Linked DNA regions of Rattus norvegicus. The protein of the gene in region 1 interacts with the protein of each later gene in a pairwise test. Links are inferred from orthologs where the notes say so. Each region holds a gene or a part of one and is shown on either strand. Other genes may lie near its edges.

The links.
Region 2: the proteins of Fhl2 (region 1) and Rai2 interact in binary tests that used the Homo sapiens proteins (3 or more experiments, as listed by UniProt). The two-hybrid records come from large-scale screens. The link is inferred for Rattus norvegicus from reciprocal best matches to the Homo sapiens genes FHL2 and RAI2.
Region 3: the proteins of Fhl2 (region 1) and Niban1 interact in binary tests that used the Homo sapiens proteins (3 or more experiments, as listed by UniProt). The two-hybrid records come from large-scale screens. The link is inferred for Rattus norvegicus from reciprocal best matches to the Homo sapiens genes FHL2 and NIBAN1.
Region 4: the proteins of Fhl2 (region 1) and Itga7 interact in a two-hybrid assay, tested with the Homo sapiens proteins (2 studies listed by BioGRID and IntAct). The link is inferred for Rattus norvegicus from reciprocal best matches to the Homo sapiens genes FHL2 and ITGA7.
Region 5: the proteins of Fhl2 (region 1) and Csn2 interact in binary tests that used the Homo sapiens proteins (3 or more experiments, as listed by UniProt). The two-hybrid records come from large-scale screens. The link is inferred for Rattus norvegicus from reciprocal best matches to the Homo sapiens genes FHL2 and CSN2.
Region 6: the proteins of Fhl2 (region 1) and Glyr1 interact in binary tests that used the Homo sapiens proteins (3 or more experiments, as listed by UniProt). The two-hybrid records come from large-scale screens. The link is inferred for Rattus norvegicus from reciprocal best matches to the Homo sapiens genes FHL2 and GLYR1.
Region 7: the proteins of Fhl2 (region 1) and Nrf1 interact in binary tests that used the Homo sapiens proteins (3 or more experiments, as listed by UniProt). The two-hybrid records come from large-scale screens. The link is inferred for Rattus norvegicus from reciprocal best matches to the Homo sapiens genes FHL2 and NRF1.

The regions. Positions count from the first base shown.
Region 1 is NC_086027.1:52,920,527-52,924,813, forward strand, and holds the start of Fhl2 (four and a half LIM domains protein 2), read right to left. Parts: upstream 2,801-4,287; 5' UTR 2,563-2,800; intron 1-2,562. UniProt on the Homo sapiens protein: May function as a molecular transmitter linking various signaling pathways to transcriptional regulation. Negatively regulates the transcriptional repressor E4F1 and may function in cell growth.
Region 2 is NC_086039.1:36,640,097-36,644,107, forward strand, and holds the start of Rai2 (retinoic acid-induced protein 2), read right to left. Parts: upstream 2,801-4,011; 5' UTR 2,609-2,800; intron 2,410-2,608; exon of another isoform or gene 2,015-2,409; intron 1-2,014.
Region 3 is NC_086031.1:66,370,719-66,374,218, reverse strand, and holds part of Niban1 (protein Niban 1), read right to left. Parts: intron 2,974-3,500; coding exon 2,862-2,973; intron 1,406-2,861; coding exon 255-1,405; 3' UTR 1-254. UniProt on the Homo sapiens protein: Regulates phosphorylation of a number of proteins involved in translation regulation including EIF2A, EIF4EBP1 and RPS6KB1. May be involved in the endoplasmic reticulum stress response.
Region 4 is NC_086025.1:1,947,615-1,951,114, reverse strand, and holds part of Itga7 (integrin alpha-7 precursor), read right to left. Parts: intron 1,303-3,500; coding exon 1,175-1,302; intron 1,081-1,174; coding exon 1,001-1,080; intron 1-1,000. UniProt on the Homo sapiens protein: Integrin alpha-7/beta-1 is the primary laminin receptor on skeletal myoblasts and adult myofibers.
Region 5 is NC_086032.1:20,600,644-20,604,623, reverse strand, and holds the start of Csn2 (beta-casein precursor), read right to left. Parts: upstream 2,801-3,980; 5' UTR 2,761-2,800; intron 1,094-2,760; 5' UTR 1,082-1,093; coding exon 1,031-1,081; intron 312-1,030; coding exon 285-311; intron 167-284; coding exon 146-166; intron 1-145. UniProt on the Homo sapiens protein: Important role in determination of the surface properties of the casein micelles.
Region 6 is NC_086028.1:11,048,624-11,052,123, reverse strand, and holds part of Glyr1 (cytokine-like nuclear factor N-PAC), read right to left. Parts: intron 571-3,500; coding exon 432-570; intron 2-431; coding exon 1-1. UniProt on the Homo sapiens protein: Cytokine-like nuclear factor with chromatin gene reader activity involved in chromatin modification and regulation of gene expression. Acts as a nucleosome-destabilizing factor that is recruited to genes during transcriptional activation.
Region 7 is NC_086022.1:59,726,426-59,730,234, reverse strand, and holds the end of Nrf1 (nuclear respiratory factor 1), read right to left. Parts: exon of another isoform or gene 777-3,809; coding exon 520-776; 3' UTR 501-519; downstream 1-500. UniProt on the Homo sapiens protein: Transcription factor that activates the expression of the EIF2S1 (EIF2-alpha) gene. Links the transcriptional modulation of key metabolic genes to cellular growth and development.

The DNA.
Region 1 (4,287 bases):
TCTCTTAAGACTTATTTCTTATGTGTGGTATGTATCTGTATGAGCTTGTGCAGGTGTCCACTGAATCCAGAAGATGTAAGATCTCTAGAAGCAGAAGTTACAGGGAATTATGAGTTGTGAGCCAACTCAGACCCTTGGTAATTATTCTTAACAGCTGAACCATCTCTCTAGCCCCTAGACTCCACTTTTCAAAGGCCCTACCTCCCAACACTTACACAAGGATAACTAAACTTCCAACACGTGAGTCTTGGAGGAAAAAAATCATATCCAGATCACAGCTGGTTACAGATGGGGCAGGTCCCGAGGTGTGGTTTGAATCAGAAGGATGACATTGGCAAATATGTTTGACAATATGTTCACCAGGGAGTAGAACTCTTTGAAAGGATTAGAGGGATTAGGAGGTATGGTCTTGTTGGAGGAAGTGTGTCTCTGGGGCTGGAGCGTTGAGGTTTTAAAGCCTACGTCAGGCCAAACTCTCCCTGTGGATCACAATGTAGAACTTTCAGTAACTTCTCCAGCACCAGGTCTCCTGTGTGCCACCATGTTCCCTACCATGATGACAATAGACTAAGTCTTCAAAACTGTAAGCAAGCCCTTAAGTAAACGCTGTCTTTGATAAGAGTTGGCTTGGTCAATACATTGACTTTGACATGGTGTGTCAGGTTAGGTAGCCAGTTCTCAGTGCAGAACAGGGGTAGAATCCAGGCTTCTTGGCCTTCTGAGTTGTGTTTGTTTAGTTAGCTGGGTTTGTTTTTTGTTTATTCATTTATTTTTTTTAATATCCTGCTGGGCATTTCTGTCTGCAGTTGAGATATCACTCAGTATTGAAGTGGTTTAACAATCTTGGGTCAAAACATGTGGTCTAGGGCCTCAACAGAATATTCTCTCAATGCATCGTAGTAGAGAATAGAGGTCAGAACTCAGATATCAAGCTATCTGGAGGCAGTTCTTGGGGCCACACTCTACAGGCTGGGAAACTTTGGACATCAAATTATTTTGATTTTTCTATTTAAGTTTCTTTCTCTGTGAACAGGAGGCTTTAAAATCTACACATGGTGCTTATACTATGCAATAGTTATCTAGTTCTCTGGGAGGAAACTGAGGCCCTGATAGACTTGGCTCTGCTCCAAGTACATCTGCCAGCTAAGACTTCTATACCCATCCCTATCCTGCCTGGGAGGCTGGGCTGCAAGGAGGCAGAAGGAAAAGAAGCCACAACAGGGGTCCCCAACACTGCATACTGTTCTGTTAAAAACTAGGAGAGCACTGAATCTGAAAAAAGAATGAGGGAAAGAATGATTTAAATCTTGTTTTGTTTTTCTTTTTTTATTAAACTTTAGTTGGGTTGGGAATTCTAAAACTTAATGCAAATTGGTTTCTATGGTGGTGGGGCTTCGACGGGGAGGTTCTAGATCACTGTAGCTGCAGGATGTGGTAGGTTACTCCTGCAATTGCAACACGTTGGAGGCTGAGGCAGGATAGGCACCAGTTTGAAGCTACCTGGGATGACACAGTAAATTCCAGGCTTTCCTGGCTACAGAATGAAGCTTTATCTCAAACAACAACAACAAAACAATCCCCCCCACAAGCCACACCCACAAACACCCTTTCTCTATTGCATTACTGTGAAATTTACACATAAGCAAAGTAGCACCCCAACACGAGACACATTTAGAGCAGTGTTTCGAAGGCAACCTTGTAACTATAAGTCCAAATTGTAGTTAATTACTTCCCGAAATATGTGTAAGAAAGTTGGCTTTACCGAAGACAGCTGTATATTTCATAAAATGCGTTCTTTGTTGAGTTCCAGAGACACAACTGAAGATTATCAAGCAAATATGGCCATTTCTTCACTTTAAATCAGAAAAAGCATTTCAAGACTTTCTTTCCATAAGACTGAAATCTATCAGAATTCTTTTCATCCTAAAGAAGTTGTTTTTCTTTTTTAACCCTACGGCTCAGGTTTTAATTTGGGGGATTAGTCAAGGTGTGTGGTCACAGGCAAACTCCCACTTCTTCTCAAGGGAAATGCTTGGCCTTCCACGTGCTGACCAGCCTGTCACCTCCCTCCCATAGACTTCAGGAACCAGTTCCACTTCACCTCTGGGGGCTGACCTGTGGGCAGTTCATCGTTTCCCACCACCTGGCAGTGATCCACCTTTACAGGGCCGCCACCCTCCCTCTGGACACCAACAGTCCCTTCCCCACCATTTCCAAATTCGGCTCTCCTGTGCTCAAGTCCTCCAACACGCATGATTTTGGTCCTCTCTGCCCCGCATCCGTTCTTCCTAGGGATGTCTCCCAGTAGATCAACTCGCGGGTCCTGAGATCTCCCCTCAAGCCTTTCCTTCAGCCTCTGCCACATTTCCGATCCACCTTCTCCCCTTTCCCTCCTGACTCCCTCCGCTTCATTTCGGGTCATCATCCTGGGTATCCTCTGCCCAGCTACACTCTCCTCTCTCCCTGATCTGTCCTTTCCGTTTGGGGTCCCCATCCCGGGTGTCCTCTGCAAATAGGGCTCTCCTCCCGCCAGGATCTGTCCTCTCCGTTTCGGGACCCTACCCTGATGCGGTCTGCACAGCTCTGCTCCGGTCTCCTGGGTCTCCGCCCCGCGGTCCGGGTGCGCTGGCCACTGGTGTCTCTCCACGCGTCCTAGAGCAGCTGTCTGGTGGGGATCCTCGTGTTCCAAGCAGGGCTGTGGCCTGGGCGGCGCCAGGAGTACTCACACACGGTGAGGCCGGGGTCTAGGGGAACCCAGCGGACTGTGGACCGGTGGCGGCAGCGGCTCAGCGGGCGGAGTGCAGCCGGCGCTGCGCCCGCCCTCGAGAACCCCCGCCGAGTCATTTGACCATATAAGGACACACGCGCCGGGGCGGCGGGCTGGGCGCGCTGGCCTGGAGAGCCGGGCGCGGCGGCGAGCGCCCCTCAGCAGCCGGTCGTCGTCTGTTCCCCCTGCTGACGTTACCACAGACCTTTTGTTTGACTTAACCTTCTTCCTTGCTTCCTGGTGTTTGGCTTACACTGTCAACCATCGTTGCGCCCTGGACTTGGCTCCCGGGATTGTTGCTAGGCAATGCAGAGAGCTATAGCCACTGCCACCCAAGGGCGGAATGACACGGGACTACTAACACCAGGACCCTCCTCTGGGTTGCAGGGTCCCTGCCCGGTTGCAGCCTGGTGCAAGCATGGATGGATGGGTCGTTTGCAGATGTGGGGGAAGGAACTATGTGTGTGTAGCGCACACATTGGCATGGTAGTCTGTTGGGCCTTGCCTTGCAGACACCTTTCCATCATGGAATGAACCAAACCAATGACCTAGAGAATCATTAATGAGCCTGTTCCACCAGGGAGCTCACTGAGAGAAGGTCCTATGCTCAACACTCAGGGCTTGAGAGCTGTTGGACATTCAGTGGCTCCCTCCTGGCACAAAGAAAACGCTGGTCTTAATGTGGCCTTCACACTGTAAGCCAAGGTCCTCTGCAGAGTTGGTCTTTAGTAGGGACACGAGACTGTGTTGTGAGGCATGTGGTATCCTCACGCCTAGGAAAGGCAGCATCTGCTCTTGAGCAAATGGGTCCACACCCGGACAGGGTGGAAGATGGGCATGTGGAGAGGCAATGAAGGCCGGGGTTGGTGATTTCTCAGGGTCATGAGGTGACAGTTTATCAAGGGATTCATTTGGGTGCAGAGTCTATGAAAGGATATAGTTTGTCATCACTAAAATGGTATGGCCTCAGTAAGAATGTAAAGTGGCTGGTCACATTGTCTTCTCAGTCAAGAAATAGCGAGCAAGGAGACCTGGAGCTCAGTTTTCTTTGCCCAGCTCTAGAGAAGTGCCGTCCACTTTGGGAGCCAGTCTTTCCTCCTCAGTTAAACATCTCAGGAACTACCGCAAAGATTCTTCTAGAGGTGTGTCACCTAGGTGAGTCTAAGCCCAGTCAAATAGATAGTGAAGAACTATCACAGTGGTAGAAGTCGTGTGGGGTAGGCTTGTTATTTCCTCCATCCGAGGGGTGCTGAGGGCAACACATTTTCCGTTTAAGGCAGGAAGAACCGTGTGGTGTCTTTCTTCTGGATGATACTTCCTGATTGCTGTCACCAGAGGGTCTCCATGGTGGGACCTCAGAACTTGAGAGGCAAGGGAGTTAGGATAATTGTCCCGTAGTCAGCATTAGCTGTATCTGGCCTCTCCAGGGATCCTCGGCTCCTTTTGGTAAAGTTAGTTATCTCAATTAAATGGTGAGGACTCTAGATGAGGTGAACAGTTTCTATACCAGCTGAGATTGG
Region 2 (4,011 bases), on another chromosome or scaffold:
GCTCACATGCCTCCAAACTTACTTTGCTTTTTTGGTTTTTTTTCTGTTTGTTTTGTTATTGTTCGTTCTTTTCTTTTTTTCCCTGCTCTTTTCTTTTGCCTGTTTTCTAGGTAAAAGATGTTGTAGTTGGCTTTATGCTCCTTGCCTAAACGCCCACCCAAACTGCTCTCAAGCAAGCACTGGACACCACCTGGGAAACAGTTTTCTCATTTGCTCCTGGGATGAACAGGTTTTCCTGGGCCAAACCTCCCTGCATGTGGTCTTGGATCCTTTGAATAATAAAGGAGCCCCCTTGGATAGGCTGAATGACCCAGAGTTGGTGCCAAAACGGTCAGCAGCTCCCTGCCCCACAAGTTTCGGTGTGACTTGGCTCCAAGTGCTATGGCCACCTTGGGCATGCACCCAGTGGACATCTGTCAGGCTGAGAAGGAAATAGCCATGTGCAGAATACAGTGTCTGTGGGGAGGGAACGGGGCTTTCTAAAACTGGTATATAGCTTCCCTGAGCTCCTAAGGACCAGAGAAATTGGGATGCTATCAGGCTAATGGCTTATAATTCTGTGTCTTTGGACTCATCCTTGCTTCTGAAAGTAGCACAGCACCCCACGTTTCCCTTCTAGGAGAAAATACGAAGACACTCAGGGTATGGGTGCATGGCGCTACTCTCTAGGGAGGTGCACCCTCCCCACAAGCCTCTCTACTGTCCCCTGGTATACCACTGTAACAAAGGCTCTGCCACGACGTGTTTTCAAAGTTAGCTGAAGTCTCTTGCTCTACCAGCACACAATTGTGATGACTCTAAAGGAGAGAAGGGAAAACAGCTAGAAAACGGTGGGAAAGAGATCCTGGGAAAGCAAAGAAAAATCTGCCTGATGCAGGAGAGGCTAAGAATTGTTTTCATTCTGCCGGCTGCTTTTCTCTGTGTTCAAAGCAGACGCTTCCAAGAATTGGATAAATAAAGGGATCACACCAGAGGATGCGAGATAATGCTAAACCAACAAAAACAAAGACCAAACGAAACAGAGTGAGCCATGAGAATATGCGGTTATCAAAACTTTGTTTGGCTGTATCTATTTATCATCGCCGCACACCCGGGCTCTGCGGAATATCATTCTGTTGATGTCACTTATCCTCAGCAAAATATTTACACATCCTTAAAAAACGCCAGATGAGGGAGGCTGGCCCTCTCGCTGCTGCAAGCCGCCTCTCAAGCCCATTGCCAGGTCTGGGCAGCTCAGAGGTGAGGGCACAGGGTGGATGGTATCAGTGGATACAGGTAAGAACAACTGATAGTTTTAGGAATGTGGCCACCCAGGCGCTGTGCCCTGCCCAGCCCGGCCCACTTCTCTACCTGACTCTGTAAGAAGCAGCCACATCCCCCAGCGCCTTCTCCTCTTCCCCCTCCCTTTCTCATTGATTAAGTTCCCAAACCATTGTTAAAGCTGGATTGCCGCCTTTTAAAAAACGGCTAAATTCATTAGGTTTCTCTCTTCCAAAAGAGAAATATTCATAAAAGTTTGGCAGTCAAAAGAGAGGCTGACTGAATACCTTGGGGTGGGTAACAAGTCACTCTTCGCAAAGCCACGGTCTTCCTTCATGCCCTATCTGTTTCTCCACCCATCCATCGTGCCCCAAACCCACTCCGCGGACTTCGGATAGGGAAACACAAAGCAGCAGCTGTTTGGCAACATTTCGACCCCTCGCCAACAACTGTGGTGGGATGCCATTTCCCCACCCAGGCGGAGCTTATCCTGAACAATAGTAGGGGTTTAAATGGCAAACAACAAACACACAGAGCAAGTCCCAACCCCGAGGAAAAAAAAAAAGCCAACGCGCAGGAAGGCAATAACTCCCTTCGCAGCAAAAGGCGCCACTGAAATGCACGCATACAAAAAAAAATGCAGCCAGAACGCTGCTTGGTGCCTAACATGGCAGAAAGCCGGGGCTGGTGTGGCCACCCCGGGTCTGGGCACTGTGGGGGCACCAGGGCTCCCAGGGCGCCGACAGGCACTCACCCTGCTCCAGCGGGATGCGGGACTTGCTGAGCGGCACAAAGAAGATCCCAGCACGATCTGGCAAAAACCAACTTTCCACCCAGCTCGCCAGGGCCGCCAGATACGTCAACAGAATCCATCTTTCGAAGGGCCTGGAAGGCGCCTGGTTTTCCTGGCTGGGGCAGAATGGCAGATACCGAGACAAGCCCGGTGCGGTGCCCGGGCACGGAGCGCACTTCGTGCCGCCCTCTAAGCCCAGTGCCAGAGCGGGTGGCGGCCCAAAACCCACTTCGGGGCCCCCGCCCCACCGGCTGGCGCCGCCTTCCCGACTGTCCCCGGCCGGGCTGGCCAGTGCGTAGCGCCGGCCAGCAGGAGCCTGGCCTGGGCGAGCAGCACAAGTGGTTGCCTCGACCCGCGTCCCCGCCCCCGCCCGGCCCTCCCCGCTGGCCCCGGCCTCTGGGCGCCGTCCTGCCCCCGGGAACAGGCAGGCCCCTCCCCGGGCGCCGGGCCCCGCCAGGCGCGCCCAGTCCGGCGCGCCCCCTTCGTCCTGGTGGCAGGTCCGCCTGGGGAGGGCGGGGGTGACCCCGACCAGCACAGGGGTGCCGCAGCCGCTACCTCGGGATCCGGGCTGCCGCCTCCAGGAAGCCACGGGGTGGACGTTGGTGTGGGAACTCTCTTGGTCTGGCCTCGCCGCTGGGCGCCTGAAGGGGGTGCACAGCGATGGGAGCCTCTGTCTTTGCTGTCACCCAGCCGCTGTCGCTGGCCGCCACTGCCGACTGTGTCTGTGCGCGTGTGTGCCTGTGTCCGGGAGAGTGTGTGTCTGCGTGCAGCGCCTGGCCTTTACTATATACACCAAGGGGTGGGAGGAGGCGGGGAAGGGGAGGGCTTGGGGGAGGTGGCGGAGGAAGGGGAGCAGGAGGGGGGGCGAAAGGGTACCCGAGGAGGCGGTGGCAGAGGAGGGACAGGTGATCTCGCCCACAGGGAGGGTGTGGTTGTGGGCGGTGCGAGGTGACAGAAGGCTGGGGAGCTGGAGGCGAGCGCTCTCTCTCTCTCTCTCTCTCTCTCTCTCTCTCTCTCTCTCTCTCTCTCTCTCTGTGTGTGTGTGTGTGTGTATGTGTGTGTGTATGCGCGCGCGTACATGCGTGTCTGTGTCTGTGTCTGTGTGTCTGTCCGTGCTCTCGGGTTGGGAAGGCCTGGACGAGTGGAGACTTTGCTGCTTCCAGGAGATCTGGAGTCCGTTCTAGATCTTAGGATGAAAAGCAAAAAAGAACAGAGCCCTGAAAGGGAAAGTGTTTGGTTGATAGAAATGGGAGCATTCAGAAGAACAGCTACCACCCTCCCTAATATGCCTCAGGAGATTGCGGTCTAGGTCAGAGATGACACTCCCAAGGCAGGACATTAGCAAAGACAAAATTAGTCCAGAAACAGAATATCGTGTCTAACCAAGAAGTGATTCACATATTAATTTAACATTTATTATGCACCCAGTGTTTGCCAGATACTGAGTTATGTAAGAACGGGAGTTACAGACATGATGAATACATGTCTGGTGTCCCATAAATAAACACTATGAATCAATAAACACTGGTCATCAAAATTGTTTTAAGTCTAAATCCATTTTACAATGTTTTAAGAATGCAAAGGAAGCAACTGTATTATTGGTTTAACGTATCCTCAGTGATGCTGAGGTTTTTCCTGTTAAAACAGGATGACGATATTTGAGAGTGAATGCTACAGCAAGAATTGCTTTAACCTGGTCAGAGAACAGTGTGACTCTTATAATCCTTTGTACACTCAAACCCCTTCAAGCTTCAGCATTGTGGCTATTAGTTGTGGCTTTTCTCTAGTAGAATTTGGGGTGACAAGGACACAAAATACCTAGAGAGCTGCCACCTTAACCCACCTGTTGATAACTAATACGGGAACCTGTACTTGTATGTATAAGGGTTCCTTCTAACCATGATGTTATGCAAACCTACTGCAATAGTATCCAGGGCCAAATTATGACTCTGTGGGAG
Region 3 (3,500 bases), on another chromosome or scaffold:
TGACTTTGCCCCAATGCTTCAGTTCTCTTACCATTCCTATTAAAATGCCAAAGTGATAGATCATTCATGGGGAGCACTTCAGCGCCCCAAAGCCTGCTCACTGCTCCCACCGTCTGTGCACTCTGGCTTCATCTTTCAAATTAAAGAAACATTTCATAATTTTTATAGCGAGTCACATGCAACCCCCTAAGGATACCCATAACTAATACCCCTTGACTGACAGTTTTAAAAGAAAAAAGACCGGCAAACTGATTCTACCACTCCCCTGGGGAGCCCACATCACAATCGTGAACATCTAGGATGTCGGCGCTCGGGGCATCTTCTACCTCCCAGTGGCACTCATACACATGGGCATCGTTGATTTGCTCTGTATCCATAGCAAGGGCTGGGCTATCATTCCCTCCCAGCACTTCCTGATCCTCAGAAACCTGGGGCCCCTCATTATTCTCCACGGGACAGATGGGGTTAGAACTTAACGTGGCATCTTCTTGAGGTGTGACTGTCACAGAATGCACAGCCTCACCTCCTGCCTCGGTGCTGTCCTGTGTGGAAACTGTGGCTAGGAGCACCTCCTCAGTGGGCCCTTGAGCCTCAGATGGCTCCTCTATGGGGCCTAGACAGCTGGTGTTCTCAGTGAGTCCCTCACCGGTAGACTGAGAGGTAGGCCCTCTACCCTCTGGCAGTGTCCCCAAGTTCACCCCAGGAGCCTCAGCTTCCAAAGGCATAGGATGGGCCTCCCTCTCTCTGACTTCACTTTCTTCACAGCTGTCCTGCTGGATGGCAGCTGGGCCGCTGGCTTCTGGGTGGATCTTGCTTTCCTCCTCCTCTTCTTCTTCTTTTTTATCTTCTTGGGGAACAGGTGTCCCGTTTAGTGTATCATTTCCAATCTCTGGGGCAGACTCGACGAACACCGTCACAGTCAACAACTCCTTCAGTTCCCTCAAGGACCCTGGCACGGCGCTAGACTCTGGCCTTTTGTGGGCTGTTTCCTCATCTTTAGGGGGCTCCCCAGCTTCTGCCTCTGACAAGTGTGAGCTGAGAGGTCCTGCTGAATTATCTGCACTGAGAGGGTTCCCGGCAGAGTTATCCACACCGGACACAGACACCTGCCCATCCTCACCTGAAGGAGGGCTGGACCCAGAGATGGAAGCACTTTCTTCTCTGGCCAGCGAGCCAGGGACCCCAGGCTGCTGCTGCTTTTCCTCAGGCCCCTGGAACACTTCGCTGCCTGGAGCCTCATCGCCTGGAGCTCCTGGGAGAATGGCAGATGCTCCTCTGGCTGGGCTGGCCTGGTTTGACCCCATGGAGGTTTTGAGGTCTGTCAGACTGGACACACTTTCACTGGGTAAGGCCATGTTGTCTTCAAATAAGTTGTGTTTCTTCAAGATAGCTGCTTCCGTTATCACTGAGAGGGAGCAGAAAACAAAACACCACATTAGCGCTCTGCCCGGCAAACCTGGATTTTCCAACGTTACCCGGGAGCCAATCATTCCTGTCCTCTGGCTCCCCAAACTCTCAGTTTCTAGAACCATCTCACGACCACCCTCTCACAGGCCGCCCTTCCTGATGACCAAAACCTGCAAACCTTCCAGACTCTGAGTCTTGGTAGCGTTCATTCGAAATTTTCAATCAAGAAACACTTGCTAGGCATCTATTCTGAGACCAGCCCCAATGTGGAGAATAATAAAACCTCTGCTTGTAAAGAACTCAAAGTCTCCAGGGGTATCATATTCATCAGTGTCACCAGCTGCTGTGACAAGTGGCTGCTCTGGAACTCTAATGAGGCAGGGGCAGGCCTTCCCCTTCCTTGTTTTGTCTGGCAGTGTGGTCCCGATTGCGTAGTGGGTATTCAGGGCTAAACATCCAGCTGAGAGAGCTTGTTTGGCCTGGAGTGTTCAAGATGAACATTTGGAAGGACAAAGAAAGTAACAGCATGGGTAACAGTGCATGACGGTTCAGCCACAGACCTCTCTGTGCAGGGCTACAGTGTCCAACAATGCCAACTTGAAGTGGGTCTTACAGCAGAGGCAGAACCACTAGGGGTAGTCAGCACTAGTGCCCTGCTCTAACAGGCACCATCTTATAGCAAGTTTCAGGCAGAGGGGAGGCCGTGCAAAAGAATCTTCTTCCAACTGAACTAAGACATGTGTGCAGTAGGCTGTCCATGGCCTATGCACACACACCATGCCAACCCCTTTACCCTCCTCATCGCCTGGGATTCCTGGCCAGCTACAGTGACCTGAGGCTTGGACTGGACCAGTTTTCTCACTGGAGGCATTTTAATAATGGCTACTAAATGTGTCTCACTCCAGTAGATGGCTGGCAGCCTCCTGCAGAGTATTTCCAATGCATAACTAGTCCCACTGTGATCACAGACAAGGCCCCGCTCCACACTGCAGCAGATGCCAGAGTCCTAAAGAGGCTCTCAGAGTCCTATGCCATTGCCCTGGGTCTCTGTCCATCTGACTGGAGGGGAGGAATGTGCTGAGAGAGCAATGGTTGGGCCCTACTGCCGTCCAGCCCTGAAAGTCTTTCGGTGTTCTAACACAGAGTAGCAAGGACAGATCTACCTGCCAGACCCTCAGTTCAGCCGCACTAAGCCTTGGTTTCTTTCCTCTTTGATGATAAAGCTTATGTTCTTGTCCTACAGAATTCATGCTTGCGTTGAAAGAGGATTGACACGGCCCATGGCGCAGTCACCTCGTGAATGAGGCGAGGTTGGTCCTTCCTTCCTATCTGCCCTCTCCTTGTTGTCACCCCTGCAGACCAATCTCAGTTTCAACTCTTCCGCATTCTGATCTTACGGCCTTCCTGAGTCCTATTTCCAGAGTGCACCCCGTTTCGGAGTGCTCCCTCCTCACCTTTCAGGGTCTCATCGAGGAGGATCTGATACAAAATCTCTTCATAGATGTTCTCAACATGGATCATATTGGTGTGGTCTGCGAAGATGAACTGCTCATATTTCTGAAGCTCCTGGAGGGTGAGAGAGGATGAAGAAGAAGAGCCATGACGTCAGGGGACTGCCACTCAAAGCTACAATCACGTACCATCTCACGGGCAAGAAAACAGCACATGCTGGTGAGGACGTGGGGAAGGGGGGACCTCTGTACACGGCTGGTAGGGGATAGGAGGTAGTGGAGGCATTGTAAAAATTACTACGGGCCTTTCTCACATATGATCGAGCTGCCTCTCTTACATACGTGCCTGAAGGAAACTGTTCATAACAGCCAAGGTATGGAAGCAACCGGAGACGAGTGGATAAGGAACGCGCGGTGTATACACAGTAAGCGAAATCGTGTCATCTTCAGAAAGATGGGTCAAATGGGGATTGTCAGCTTGAGAGAAACAATCCAGACCCACTTTCTCTCGCATGTAAAATCTAGACTTAGTAAACGTTGAAGAAGACAGAAATGGAGAAGGAAGACAATTTGCAAAGCAGAAAGGCAAGAGGGATGAGTGGGGACCAGAAGGGGGGGTGAGGGAAATCGATCGGAGGCGCT
Region 4 (3,500 bases), on another chromosome or scaffold:
TTTCTGTGCGGATTCTAGGAACCCAACTCAGGTGCTCGCAGAGCAAGCACTTTACCGAGTCACATCCCAGCCTCTGCCTAGATCTTTGTAAGCCATCACCTCTGAGAAGGACATGCCCTGTGCCTCTTCTCTGAGTACTACCAATTTCAGAAGCATGACTCAGCCACCATGCCTGCAGAAGCCCCTTTTTCTACTCTTCCTTTGGAGTTGTGGGCTAGAGGCTAGACCATTTAGTTATATTCAGGCTCATGGTGCCTTCCATTGATAATAGCGTTTCTATGAATGTTAGTTAGACAGACAGACAGAGAGAGAGAGAGGTCATGACTAAAAGGCATGGTGCCACACAACTTTAAATCACAGCACTCAGGAAGCAGAGGCAGAAGGATATCTTTGAGTCCCAGGCCAGAAAGATTCTCCATAGCTGCTCGGCAGGACCCAGACCTCCACTGTATTCACAAGTCCTCTCTCAGAAACTAGCATAGTGGCTGACGATAAGAAAACGCAGTGCTACCTAAATACTATACATGGACTGACCCTGGACTCTGACCCCATAGGTAGCAATGAATATCCTAGTAAGAGCACCAGTGGAAGGGGAAGCCCTGGGTCCTGCTAAGACTGAACCCCCAGTGAACTAGACTATGGGGGGAGGGCGGCAATGGGGGGGAGGGTTGGGAGGGGAACACCCATAAGGAAGGGGAGGGGGGAGGGGGATGTTTGCCCGGAAACCAGGAAAGGGAATAACACTTGAAATGTATATAAGAAATACTCAAGTTAATTAAAAAAAAAAAAAAGAAAGAAAAGAAAGAAAACGCAGTGCTGTGACAAAGGCGTAGGTGAGTAGATACAAATCTCAGATGAATATTTCTAAATGGATAAGGAACGGGACCATGTCTTGCGCTTTTGTCTACACCCCATGGTTGTGGGAATCAGTTGTGCCATGTCCCCAGTTAGTGCAGTGTACACACACATCATCATCACTTCTGCAGGGAGTAGTACTTACAACAACCTTGCCCCCGGCTCCCTGGCTCCGCACGCTGACTCCCAGCCACTGGTTCTCCTTGCTTTCCTTCTGCACATTAGCTGAGGCAATACATTGGGAATCAGGGGACAGAACAGGAGACAAAGTCCTGCCCTCTTCACATGCCGCCCCAACTCCACCCTCCCAAGGCCACACCTCCCCTGTCGATGTCCACTCTGTAGCAGTCTGTCTCCTCTAGGCTCAGGGGACAAGCAAAGAGGCCTCCCGTGCGATTTGCCTGCTGTCCGGGAAGAGCCAGGGCCTGGGGGGCACCCACCAGCAGCCTGTAGGGTAGGACAAAGGCTAGACTCAGTCCTGAGTGTTCCAATTACCCTGGAGCTTCCCTGGCCCCAACTCCTCGGGGCCGGGCAGAGCGTTCAGTACTAAAGAGAAAAGAATAAAAGATGTTTTTCTCAAATTCTGGCAAGAACGGGTTAACAGAGCTTCTTGTCACATGCGTCCTTACTCTCTACAAAGAACCAACAGAAAGGGTGGGTACACACATAGGAACACACATGCCAGTCGGAGTAGCCTGCCAGCATTGCCAGCCTAAGAGAACGACTCCCGCCAGCACCTGTTCACAACAAACTCCCCCACCCCCTACTTGGCCCCAGCCTCAGACTCTGCCCTCCTCGCTAACCCTGGTCCAGTTGAAACCCAGCCAGAATGGCAAGAATGCCTGGAACCAGAGCAACGGGCACACAGACTGGCACCACAGTGGTTCAGGGACAGCTTCAGAGGCCAGGCAAGAGGCTAGAAATGGGTCTGCTTCCCCTCTGCCACGTGTCCAGCAAAGACCGTACCCACTGGTGGCTCTGCGATCCCCACACTCAGTCATGCCCGCTGGTGTGGAAGTAGAGAAGGTTTCTCATAGCCTCTAACCTCACCTGAGTTCTGCCCCACATCCAGAATCGCCTTTCCCGTCCGACCTTCCCCCCTCCACCCACAACTTTTTCTTCTCCTCTCCCGCCACCCCTACCCAGGCTTCTTCCTCAGCCTTTTTCTCAGCTACAACTTTCTTGGCAGCACAATTTTCCATGATTACAGCCAAAATGTCTTCCCCAGAGGGGGACTGTGCTGGGAACAGAGGCTGCCTGGGTCCCCCAGGACTGGACCCCAAAAGCCAGGAGTGACTGGAAAGTGAAATGAAGTAACTGATACCCAGGCGGCTACAGAGATCCTCTCTCTCTTCAGGAAAAGGTTCAAGTAGGCAGGCAGCAGGACGAGCCTCAAGGCCTCTCTCCCACATCCTTCCATGTCCCATCCTGAGGGGTGAAGCCCACAACTGTCGGACAGTATTACTGACAGGCATCCGTGGGGCACTGTGCCAGACTGTGTAGGGTGAGGAGAAAGGTTCCCACAAGCCCACTGTCCCTGAGCAGCTGTCATCCCGTATCAGAGCCCGTGTCAAGTGGGGGTCAGAGGAGTGTGCCACTGGAAGTTCAGCAGTCAGGACCTGCTGTTTTTGCAGAGGACCTGGGTTCCATTCCCAGCACCCACCCCAGGTGGTTATAACTGTCTCTAATGTCAGGTCCAGAAGATTCAACACCTTCTTGTGGCCTCTTTGCACATAATTTTATTTGAGCACAAGTTACACACACACAAACCCATAAGTAAAAAATTAAAAATAGATCTTTTAACAGGAGGGACGAGGGATTGTAGAGACAACTTAATAGCCAAGAGCACTTGTAGGCCATATGTGGTGGTGCATGTGTTTAATCCCAGCACTCTGCAAGCTGAGGCAGACGGATCTCTGTGGGTTCGAGGCTCGCCTGCTCTACAAAGCAAGTTCCAGGGCAGCCAGGGTTACACAGAGAAAACACTGTCTCAAAAGACATAAATAAATAAAAATAGAGAGCTGGAGAGATGGCTCAGCGGTTAAGAGCCCTGACTGTTCTTCCAGAGGTCCTGAGTTCAAATCCCAGCAACCACATGGTGACTCACAACCACGTAATGGGATTCGATGACCTCTTCTGGTGTCTAAAGACAGCTACGGTATACATAGATAGATAGATAGATAGATAGATAGATAGATAGATAGATAGATAGATAGAAAGAAATAAACAAAACACTTGTTGCTCCTGCAGAAGACTGGGTTTTGTTCCCAGCACCCACACATTGGCTCACAACAATACTTACGTCCAGTTCCAGGGGATCTGACACCCTCTTCTGGTCCTCAGAGATACCATGCACACACTTGCAGTACACAAACATACACAGGCAAAATATGCATACATATAAAACAAAAAAAACTTTTGAAAATTGGGGGGAATCAGGAAGAAAAACATATATTCATCATTCGTCTTACTACCGTTGACTGAGGCCCCGTTATACATCAAGCCCTAAGTCAGGCACTGATAAGACAAGAAAGTGATATTAATCAGCACCTATGATAGACATGGAGGTTGGAGGAACTACCTTTTAGCAGTCTCCACTTGGATTCCTAGGAGAGGAGCCACAAGCATTTTCACAGTTGCTCTCA
Region 5 (3,980 bases), on another chromosome or scaffold:
CGCTATCCTTCATGAGGAGAAAATATTTTTCTCCTCCTAATATCATGTAAAGGGTATTTACTTAAGAAGCATATGGGTGTGAGCAACACAATATAACTCAACAGAAAGATGGCAATTTGCTGCCTCTGAGAGACAATTGCCTTACCTCACTGGAAATACTACCAGTCTGTAAACAAAAAAATACATACATATATATGTTAAATTATAGATCCAATTAGGACTTCAAGATCATTAAAAATGTAGTAATCTTAGAGTTGGAAATTTGTCTCAATAAAAACTCTTACCTCAGAGGACACAGTGAATGCATCCTTCTGTAAAAGCAAACAATTAAAAACATTATGTTACTATATCAACCCTGTTATTAAACATACTTTCTGCTTGATTTGCATGTCTTTTTATCTCTTTCAGAAATAAAAAAATTGATATATGGCTTTCATAATCTTGAAAACTTATATTTACAATCTCTTTGATATTTTAATAAGTTTTTATAGGTACATTATTATATTACATAAAGGTGTACATAAACTTTGACGGCTGGCAAAAGTTACTTTGCTTTCCACTAAACACTTTCTTATTATGCCTATGACTCTACTCAGAGCATGGCCACAATTCTGGATTGTATTTCCTCCTCTAAATATCTCTTTGGACAGGCACAGTAAGACTTGATCTGCTCATCTAAAGAGGTGCATGCACTTTATCATCAGACTGAGATACTCAAGCTGCACATGTGAGTCTACTTTTGTGAAGTCATGTTTATTTGATGTATTTCTATCGCCTTGCTTCAATTCTTATTTCTGCTTTTGTTGTTGTTAGAGAATTTGTCACACAATAGTGCAGTAAGCACTTATTTCAGCTTGGAGAGCCTACAGGAACTTTGAGACCCTGGGTGATTCTCAAACAAGCGGTGACTAAATAAAGCTATCCCAAACTCTCCATTGATTGCACATTAAAAGCTATCACTGCTGTTATTGTGTATAAGTGAGCAGACTCATCTCTACATCTTAATTACTTAGGAAGCTTCTCTACACACCTCCCTTGCAAGAGCAAGTGCCACAAGGCAGGCAAGGATGAAGACCTTCATGGCTGTCAAGTCCTGTGAATGAAGAGAAGAATTAGAAACAGATTAGTCAGCAACAAATCAGAATCTGCTCTGGTTCTTAAATACTCCTATTACTAAGCCCTACACTCAGACGTCAGCTGCGGCCATCATCAGCGTTCGTCAGTTCACAGCTCCTGCCATTCTTTTCTTTTTTAACTTTCCTTTGCTAACAGTTGCATGGATGCCTTACAAAAGCTATGGAGAATGCATAACTAGCCAAACATTCCACAAGTCATTCATTTTAAACTCCTGAGCACTTACAGGTGGCCAGACAATGAACAAAATATTAATATCTCAGTTCTATGGAGTCTCACATTCACATCTAGAATGAATTAGTAGACAAAGTGTATTAACTGTTTTGTTGCTTGTGAATTATCACAGCATGAAAAAATAAAAATTTAAATATATTTATAAAGCATTCTTTCCAATACTTGAAGGTGGAAAACTATCCCATTAGTGAAAAGAAGTGGGTTTGGTTTTTTGTTTGTTTTTCTGATGTATGTTGTATTATTCATTATCAACACTTTGTCTGAAGCTTCCTCCATGGGTTTCCACATAATCCAATCATCCTAGATTAAAAGAAAGTTGTGTCTTTGTGTATTTTAAATGTGGGGAGAATACCACTGCAGTTCTTGTATTTAAACCTTGGCATTTTATACACCAATTTTAAACCAGAACTTCACTGTTATGTGGTATGTTCTAAGCTACAGTTCTTTCAACTCATCTTACTTCAATGATCACTAGTTCTAAGTGAGTTCTGATAAAGACTGAAGGAGCTGAAGGGGTTTACAACCCCATAGGAAGAACAACAATATCAACCAACCAGACCCCCCAGAGCTCCCAGGAACTAAACCACCAATCAAAGAGTACACATGGAGGGACCCATGACTCCAGCTGCATATATAGCAGAGGATGGCTTTGACTGGCATCAATGGGAGAAGAGGCCCTTGGTCCTGAGAAGGCTTTATGCCCTAGTGTAGGGGAATGCCAAGGAGGGGAGGAGGAAAGGGGTGGGTAGTTGTGTGGGGGAACACTCTCATAGAATCAGGCTGGGAAGGAATGGAATAGGGGGGTCCTGGAGGGGAAACCAGGAAAGGGGATAACATTTGCAATGTAAATAAATAAAATACCCAATAAAAAAGAAAATAGAAGACTTTGTTTCTATTTTTTACATGGTTTCTAATATTTCTTGTAATACTATGAACTAGATCAAGAATTCCAAGCCCCTGGAAAAGTTTTATGATTACAATTTTCTTGCTTATAAACATGCAGTTTGCTTCTTCCAACAGCTATGCCATAAGTATCTATTTTCCATGATATAATTTGAGTGCATTACACTAGTAAAATACATCAAATCAAATAAGATAGCTTGTGTAGGAGATAATTCTTAGTCTCTCCTTTATAGTAGTCACTGGCTTTATATATTTTTACTACATTTACCCAATTTTATGAAGCCAGGGTCATTATAATTTGTACCAAATTTTTCTAGGCATTTCTGACTTTCAAAAGCCTGTCCTTGAAAATAATCTCACAGTTTTTTAAAATATCTATTTTCAGAAAGCTATATTTTAAGTAAATCTCTTCTTTCTATAACATAGTCTAGTATGGGTTTGAAATAAATAATGAAAATAATATTTCAAACTTACGTCTGAAGTTCTTACCTTTAGCGGAGGACAAGAGAGAAGATGAAGCTCAGAGGATGATGGTCTATCAGACTCTGTGACTGTATATATACCATACTTAATGACATGCTAATTTGTGGTTCGTAAGATATTCAAAAGTCCCTTAATTCCAAGAAGTCCACATGATTAGAAAATGGTTTCTTTCTATTTTCTTTCCCAAGAAATTCTGGGGGACATTAAACAAGGCAGCAATTCAGAAGCTGGTGAAGGAACTTGTCCAGGAAAGGAAATTGTCCAATAACTGGACGTCTCTCCAGCCTAGTACACAGTCCTCAGCACTCTCCCCAGCCTAGTGGGGGGCTTTAACCTCACCTATGTGGCAATGATATAGAGACATCAAAATTCACAAAGCTTTAGAGAGGCCAAGATTTCATCTCCACCTGAGCACTAAGAACTCCATAATGCTAAGATAGACTGGTCATGAGTAGCATACTTTTTGATTGCTCACATTCACCAGATTTGGGAAAATTTAAATACATTCAACTAATATTCAGTACACAGGGGACTGCGTTTTACATAGTATTAGAACAAGTCAGAAAAGGAATCTTTAAGGTTTGTATAAAAGATAAAACTATGAATCTGTAAAAAGAGAAAAGTTTGTAAAACGGGCTTAGAATAAATCAAATTCTTGGCTTAAATAATAAGGCCTCAGAGGTCTACAAACACCAAAAAAGGTATTTCTCTCTGTGTGTGTCTCTCTCTGTCTCTTTTTGTGTACATTTCTCTCTCTCTCTCTTTCTTTCTCTCTCTCTCTCTCTCTCTTTCTTTCTCCTTTCTTTCTGTTCTTTTATTGAAAATAGGCATGTAAATGTATTTACTTAGCAATCAGTTACCTTTTTCTTCAGTTATGATAGTCATAATAGTAATTACAGATACAAACTTTTATCTTTTTAATGCTATGCGTAACAGCCACTAACTACATAATAATCATTATCTTGTCATCTTTTTGCAAAACAACTTGAAGTTGCTTTTTTTTCTCATTATCAACATTTAGGAAATGAAGACACTATATGTACAACTTGCTCAGTCATGTTACATTTAATGATAAAGTTATAATACCCACTCTACATTTGTCTCGCTACAGCTGATTTTTATTTGGTCACATGTAAGTTCCGTGGCCCATACTTTAACTCTTCTGGGATTTTGTCATGAAAAACTCAAACTTAAATGTATTATTTTTGTTTCAATGTATTAATTTA
Region 6 (3,500 bases), on another chromosome or scaffold:
TCTGAAAGTTCAACAATAATAATGATAACCACTACAACAGCCACTATCACCACTGCCATCAACATGGGCCACACAGTTCTCTCAGCAGTTCTGTGAATTGTCTTCATAGCACCCTGAGAAACAGGATCCTTGCTCACCTCTCTTTGTGCTGGAAAGACAGCTTAAAAAAAGAAAAACATGTCGCTTGTCTACAGCCCCAAAGGTGAGAGGTGGCTGTACTCCTAAGCTCTTTGCCTGTGCTGTGAAGGTGAGCGACTCCTCCCAAAACAACATGCCTTAGAAAAAGGGAGCCACGGGCAGAGTTCTGGACACAGGTGTCCTCTTCTAGGCATTTCACGGAAAAGGAGTGTCTGACACAAACCATCTTCTCAGAACCATGCAAACCACTGGCCTGATGTTGGAGGGACCACTGCAGCCCCTCTCTCTCTCACCTGGTCTTTGCCCTTGGCTCTCCTGAGGAACTCCTCGACAGCATCCACAGCTTGCTGGAACCGCTTGCCCTTGTTGATCTTGATCATCTCCTCCTTGTGAGCATGGTAAGGCTTCAGCTGCTCCACTTTGATCCATGCGCTAGTAGGAAACAAACAGAGTTTCATCCATACTGTCCATGCCAACACATTCCTGACATCTCACTAGGGGAGTGCTTTAATGCCATTTGTTTTAGCTGAAAATTAAAAGAGACCTAAACCTTACCAACCATTCACCTCTAACTCTTGAGCCTCAAGTACATTTTCTTAAAACAAACAGACCCACAACAGGTCAGAACTTTCCTCCATTGAAGTCACCATATCATTCTCATTCACCGGCTTTCCATACCCAACCACACACACCTGAAACTTGCTCACTGCAGGCAAAGCCTGTAGATTGTCTGCATGAAGGCCAGGGAGACCTGCAAGCATTATAAACCATGGCAACACTGTCACACAAGGAAACAGCTGTTTGTGTACTCTCATTCTCTCTCTATGGACAGGCTTTCAATATAGGCTCTCTCTGGCCTGTCACTCACCATGCAGACCAGGCCCTCTTCCTATCTCTGTTGCTTGAGTGCTGGAATTCCAGGTGTGAACCACCACATTTGATTTAGTCAACTATTTGAATCAGATTACAAAATCTGTCCATCAACCTAGGGTCAGGAATGTAACCAGATTAATGAAATACAATTTTGTTTTTCAAGATAGGGTTTCTCTGAGTAGCCCTGGCTGTCTTCAAACTCAGAGTTCCACTTGCCTCTCCCTCCCAAGTGCTGAGATTAAAGGCCTGCACCACCACATACCAGACTTAAAAAAAAAAAAAAAAAGGCAAGGTCTCATGTATCTTTTCTTTCTTTTGAGATAGGGTCTCACTACGGTAACAATCAGGCTTGCCTCCAACTAATGGAGATTTGCCTGCTTCCATATCCTGAATAATGTAATTAAAGGTGTGTGTGCCACAATACCTGGCATAGACTCAGTAAAACTTAGTAAACTGGCTAAACTTTACAAAGCTAAGGATGACCCTGAACTCCTGATTGTTTTGCTTCCCCCCTCCCAAATGCTGGGATCACAGGTCTGCACCACTACTCCTGGTACACACGGTGCTGGAGATTGAACTGCCTACCAACTGAGCATTCTACCCCAAATGCACTATCTAAGTGTTTGCTGCTCTTTCAGACATTTGCAGCCACATTTGTTCTTAAATGACAGTATCCATGGCTACAAAACCATACGTATTATGTTTTGGGATGAGGGCAACAGTCACAAAAGGAGGCTTTAAATGACATTCTTTTTGAAAGGCAAAATGAACTCCTCTTTTTTTTTTTCTTTTTTTCGGAGCTGGGGACCGAACCCAGGGCCTTGCTAGCAAGCGCTCTACCACTGATCTAAATCCCCAACCCCAAAATGAACTCCTCTTATTGTTAATTTTAACTGCCAATGTGTAACACCTTAAGTTAAAAAAAGCAGTCAGCTGCTAGTTCTGAAGTATCTGGCCTGTCATGAATCCTGAGCAAGTCTGCTGCAGTAGGCTTTCTGTGGCTTTCCTAAATGATGCTCTGGAATCCAAGTGAAAATGAGAACATATTACAGGCTTGGCAAAGTGCTGGTTAAATTACATATGTGGGTGGGTCCCTAGGCCCCAGCTCTAAAAAAAAAAGAAAAAAAAATAACTGTAAAGCTTCTTTCTGTAGAGAAAGTTGGAGAATATTCACTAATAACGGCCAAAGTGTTGTTTATCCATCTCCACTTTTTTCACTCTGTTCTGTGGGAACAATTGTGAAGACAGGTCAAGAACAAATGTGGCAGCCCTGGGACACATTTTGAGACAGCACACCAGAGCAGACATGATACCTATGACTGAGGCAAACAACACAGAGGGATAGACAGTAGGCTCTGGCACAGTGCCAACCTTATCTACCAGTGGAAAGAGGTTTTCTGGTGGCCAGCTCAACTAGAGTTTGCAATCTGACATAAGAGCCATGAATCCAACCCACAGGGAAGAAACATGAAATAAGGTATTGACCTCTAAATGTTGGCCAGAATGTCCCTAGGGACCCACCCACAGCTCTTCACCCGTATTTACTGAGTCCTAAGGACAGAGGTGACGGCAGTAGGGCTGCAGTACTAACTGGTGGCCTAGCTCAGAGACCACACAGTGTCAGGGATAAAGCTTAAAGATGGTTCTCAAGACACACACTGTCCGTCTTCCAGGACTGGGTTAGAAGCTCTGCAGGCCGTAATCCCGTCACTCCTTTTGGGTACGGTCATGCCTGCCTCCTCCTACCAACCTGATTGCCAGAAAAAGCAAAGGTGAGGACTTCTATGGAAGAATGCCAGTAAGTCAGCCTCCATTTTTTTTTTCGGAGCTGGGGACCGAACCCATTTTTTTGACTTCTGTAAGAAGGAAGAACACACAGAATCCTACTCACTTCTAGAGGGGACTCTGAGAGACTACTCTGAATCCTCCTAACGCAGTGACCTTTGAAACGTTCAAATGAACCGACAATACAAACAGGACTTTGATAAGATAAAAGCAAGAAATGTTAATCTCCAAAACTGACCAAATGACCTGGATAATCAGAAATACAGTCAATAAAATACCAGCTCACCAGAGCACAGAAGGATTACCTCTAGAAAGCACAATGCGCCTGAATCCCTTCAGCCATCAGAACAAAATGTGTTCTGTAGTGGTCACACAGCGAAGCCCAGCCTGCTTTAGACTTGATGTCTTTTAGCCGGTACTTCAGCAACACCTCTATCCTGGAAGAACAGCAGTGTAGGCTGCAGGAAACTGGTGTTCTCTAGTTAACGGTAAGTGATGCTGCCACCTTACAGTCATTTTTAGGGGCAGAATGACTGCCTGACAGTGGGCAAAGAGGTAGTAAAATGCTCAGCTGGGTAATTTTTTATCTTATTTTAGTTCGTATGTTTGGATGTTTTGTCTTCATGTATGTTGGTATATCACTTGTGTGCCTGATACTACTCTTGGAGGCCAGAAAGTGGTGTCAGATTCCTTAGAACTGGAAT
Region 7 (3,809 bases), on another chromosome or scaffold:
CCAGAGGTCATGAGTTCAATTCCCAGCAACCACATGGTGGCTCACAACCATCTGTAAAGAGATCCGATGCCCTCTTCTGGTGTGTCTGAGGACAGCTACAGTGTACTTATATATAATAAATAAATAAATCACCCTCAGCATCCCGGCTTTACATCTAAGAATAAATACGGCATCAAATCTTGTCAACTCTCTTTCCTCCCTTCTTGCAAAGGATTATTTTTATTAACTTTATTCATACGTGTGTAAGGGAAGGAGATATGTGTAGATCCCTTGGAGCTGGACTCACGAGCAGTGGTGAGCCGCCTCACACGGGTTTCTGAAAGGACAGCGAGCCTTCCTAACTGCTAATCCTAACTGCTCCCACCCCAGACTCTTTCAAAAGGAAACCAGACTGGTTTCTACTACTTCAACGTCAGTAATAATTTATCTGCGTCCCATCCCAACATTGTATCTTCAGTTCACAAACGAAACAAAGCCAACACCCCAAACCATACATATGCTAAAGTTAAAAACTGAATTTTATTTCCTTTTCAGTTGCTGTGGCGAGTTAAATTTGAAGAAGATAATATCTCCGTCTTCAACAACGTAAGCTCTGCCTGGTTGTTTGTACTTCCCAGCAGCCTTAGCTGCGTTCTCAGAACTCTCCTCTTTAAGATCTTCGTCTTTCATTACTTCCGCCATAATGAATCCCTTTCCAAAATCTGTATGAATTTTTCCTGCAGCCTGAGGAGCCGTCACGGCTTTGCTGATGGTCCATGCATGAACTCCATCTGGGCCTGCAGTGAGAAAGTACTCTAGTTGGAGTGCTGCAAACCCAGCCTTAGAGATCTTTGGTAAAGCATTGTCCTGCTCAGTCCCAGGACATATCCGTCTCCTCAGCGCTTTAACCCAGGATGGTCTCGAACTCTCAATCCTGCTGCCTCAGCTTCCCAAGAGCTGAGATTGGTCACGCCTAGATTAGCTGAATCTTGAGCAAGCATGCACAAACTTTTCCCACAAGTTCCCTACATTATCCCTCTATCACCATGGTCCCTCAACTCTCCCCAAAGCATATCTCCCTGCCTGGACCTGAGCAGGGCTCTTCTGACAGTCCCCACATCTTTCTAGGGGTGTTATTGGCCTATTGTTATGGACCTGCCCTACTTCCAAGCATTTCCCACGATTCCCTAAGTCTGCATACTTCAGCTGTTGACAAGGCTCACTGAACACTGAGCAGTCTGGGCACAGGAGGTGTCAGTAACCGAATGGACACATTATGACACACCTGGTGTTCTTCATGACTTTTTAGAAATTCCTTCCAGTCTTGCCCTCTGCACTCTGAAGGGTCTTGAAGCCCTTTCCTTTGTTTAGAGCAAAGCAGCTTTCTCCACAAGCATTCTTAAGGGGCTGTAATCAAATGCCTTGTGGAGCTCCATGTCTTCTCATGGGTTATTTTAGTCTATAGGTTATCTTACTTCCATTAAAGCACCCCTTGCCAAAATGTGTGAATTCTGTCATTGAACACCTGTGGGCCTTAGTTTCCTCACATGTAAAATGCTCACTGGTAATCTTCTCACAGGGGACCTGAACCAGGTATGTGGACGTAGAAAACCCCTGGTACAGTGTCTAGCACACAGGTCTACAGTACTCGTCAGCGGCCTTTCAAGGTGCCTGAAGTATAGTTTGGACGGCGGGTTAGGTAGGTTAACACTCCCGGGAAGCAGCACACACTCCGTGCAACAGGCATTTGCTCCTACGGTGGGCAGATCATCTGCCGAAAGCCTCCAAAGATGGACTTCAGACAGAAGCCCCGAATCATGTGAAGAGGACTGGCAGGCAACTCCCCATGCACATCACAGCAATGGAACTACAGGAGGAGACGAAGTAGCTGCTAATGGAGCACACAGGCCCATGAACTGAGCACATAGGAGAGCACACAATCCTGGGCAAACCACTAACCCAAATCAAAGACGTTAAGAACAGGGCCAGTGTAGGACCAGCGATGTAGCGTAGGGGTAATTCAATTCCTAGCACTGAAATAAATGTCATATACACACGAGTGATCAGTTATAGTATGATGATATTATCAAAAACTTCTCAGAAGTGAACAGGATAGACATGGACCGAACAGAAGACAGGGCTTCAGGACTGGCCGGTTACCTAGCACTACAATGTGCCTCCCCCACCTCAAGACAAGACAGGGCAGGATCGCCAACTCTGGCGAGAATGGTCTTTCATTTGCCTTCCAAGCTGGGAAAGCTTTGGGAATTGTTGTGTGCTGTAACTAAATCTTTCTGTCCAAAGGTCTTGGGAGTTGGCTGTGGAGATATGTTTAGTTGGACAATACAGGGGAAAAAATAGCTAAACAAAATAAACACAGTAGCTGTTTTGAGACATTGTAGCCTTGGCTGGAACTCACTGTATGGCACAGGCTGGCCTTACACTTAGCAATCCTCCTGCCTCAGCCTCCTGAGTGCAGCAATTACAGGCATGAGACACCATAACTGACTGAGAAATGACTCTTCAAACTAAAAGGAAATACATTGTAATGTCTTCTGTAGTTTAGTAACATGACTGCTGAAATGGGTAGCGGGAGAACACTGGCCTAAGTGGGGGTGTAAGTCCATGACTAGAGAGAACAGTGAGAAAGCTCTGAGTTAATAGCAATGGCTGCTCTTGTGGAGGACCAGGGTTCGGTTCTCAGCAAGCACGTGGTGGCTTTAGCTCCAGTTCCAGGGGACATGATGTCCGCTCCTGACGTCTGCAGGCACCATGCACACAGATGGAGGCAAGACACTCACAAATTAAGTCTGAGACGAGGAAGAGGAGGGAGGAGAAAGAAAAAGGGAAGGAAGGAGTTAAACCGAGTCCTAAGCTGTAAGGGGATGGAAATCTGATGGTTGACTTAAGACTTGGAAGAACACACCAGTGGCCGTTGTCTAAGGAAAGGCACTGTTATGTGAATCGAAACATGTCTGGTTATCTATCAGAGAAGCAGAGAAAGTCAGCAGGGGAAGCGAGTCCAGCATGTTGACCAGAGAAGAGGCAGATGTCTAAACAAGGACCAAACGGAAAGAAGATGGAGAGAGAGAGCAAGAAAGGAAGGCCATGAAAAGAACACCAACTTCACACAGAAGAGCAGGTAGCCCTGACACTCGCACACAGGTGAGTAAGGGCTCTTCCTAGTCAGCTTTCCCTTTGTGCGCCAAGTCTGAAGCATTTGGGGAATTTATGGCAAGCGCTAGACAGTCATGAAACTAGGAGCAGCCTCAGAGGTCCTCAGTGTTGGGTTCCTCTCAGTCCTCAGAGCTTCCTCTTCTGACTAGACAATCTCAAGATACACTCAGGAAAAAAACGATTCTAGGAATAAGGTTAACAGCAGCACCGGCTGCTGGGACCGGGTTAGGGTTAGGGTTAGGGTCCTAAGGTCTGTCCTTTGTCTTTAAAATTTCAAAGAACTCTTACACCTTTGCCCACAAATCAAGTGTTAAAATTAAATTTATTTTTACTTTTTAGTAAATGTATCTCCAAGATATCTTGGCAATATGAACTCACGGTCTCCTCTTGGACCTGGAGATGCTCAGGAACACTATGAAATGAGACTCCTGTTTTAGCATCAGAACCCCCAGGGTTTAGCATCCTAGAAATTGTTTTAGCATCAGAACCCCTAGGGTTTAGCATCCTAGAAATTGTTTTAGCATCAGAACCCCCAGGGTTTAGCATCCTAGAAATTGTTTTAGCATCAGAACCCCATGGTTTAGCATCCTAGAAATTGTTTTAGCATCAGAACCCCCATGGCTTAGCATCCTAGAAATTGAACCCGCAATGCG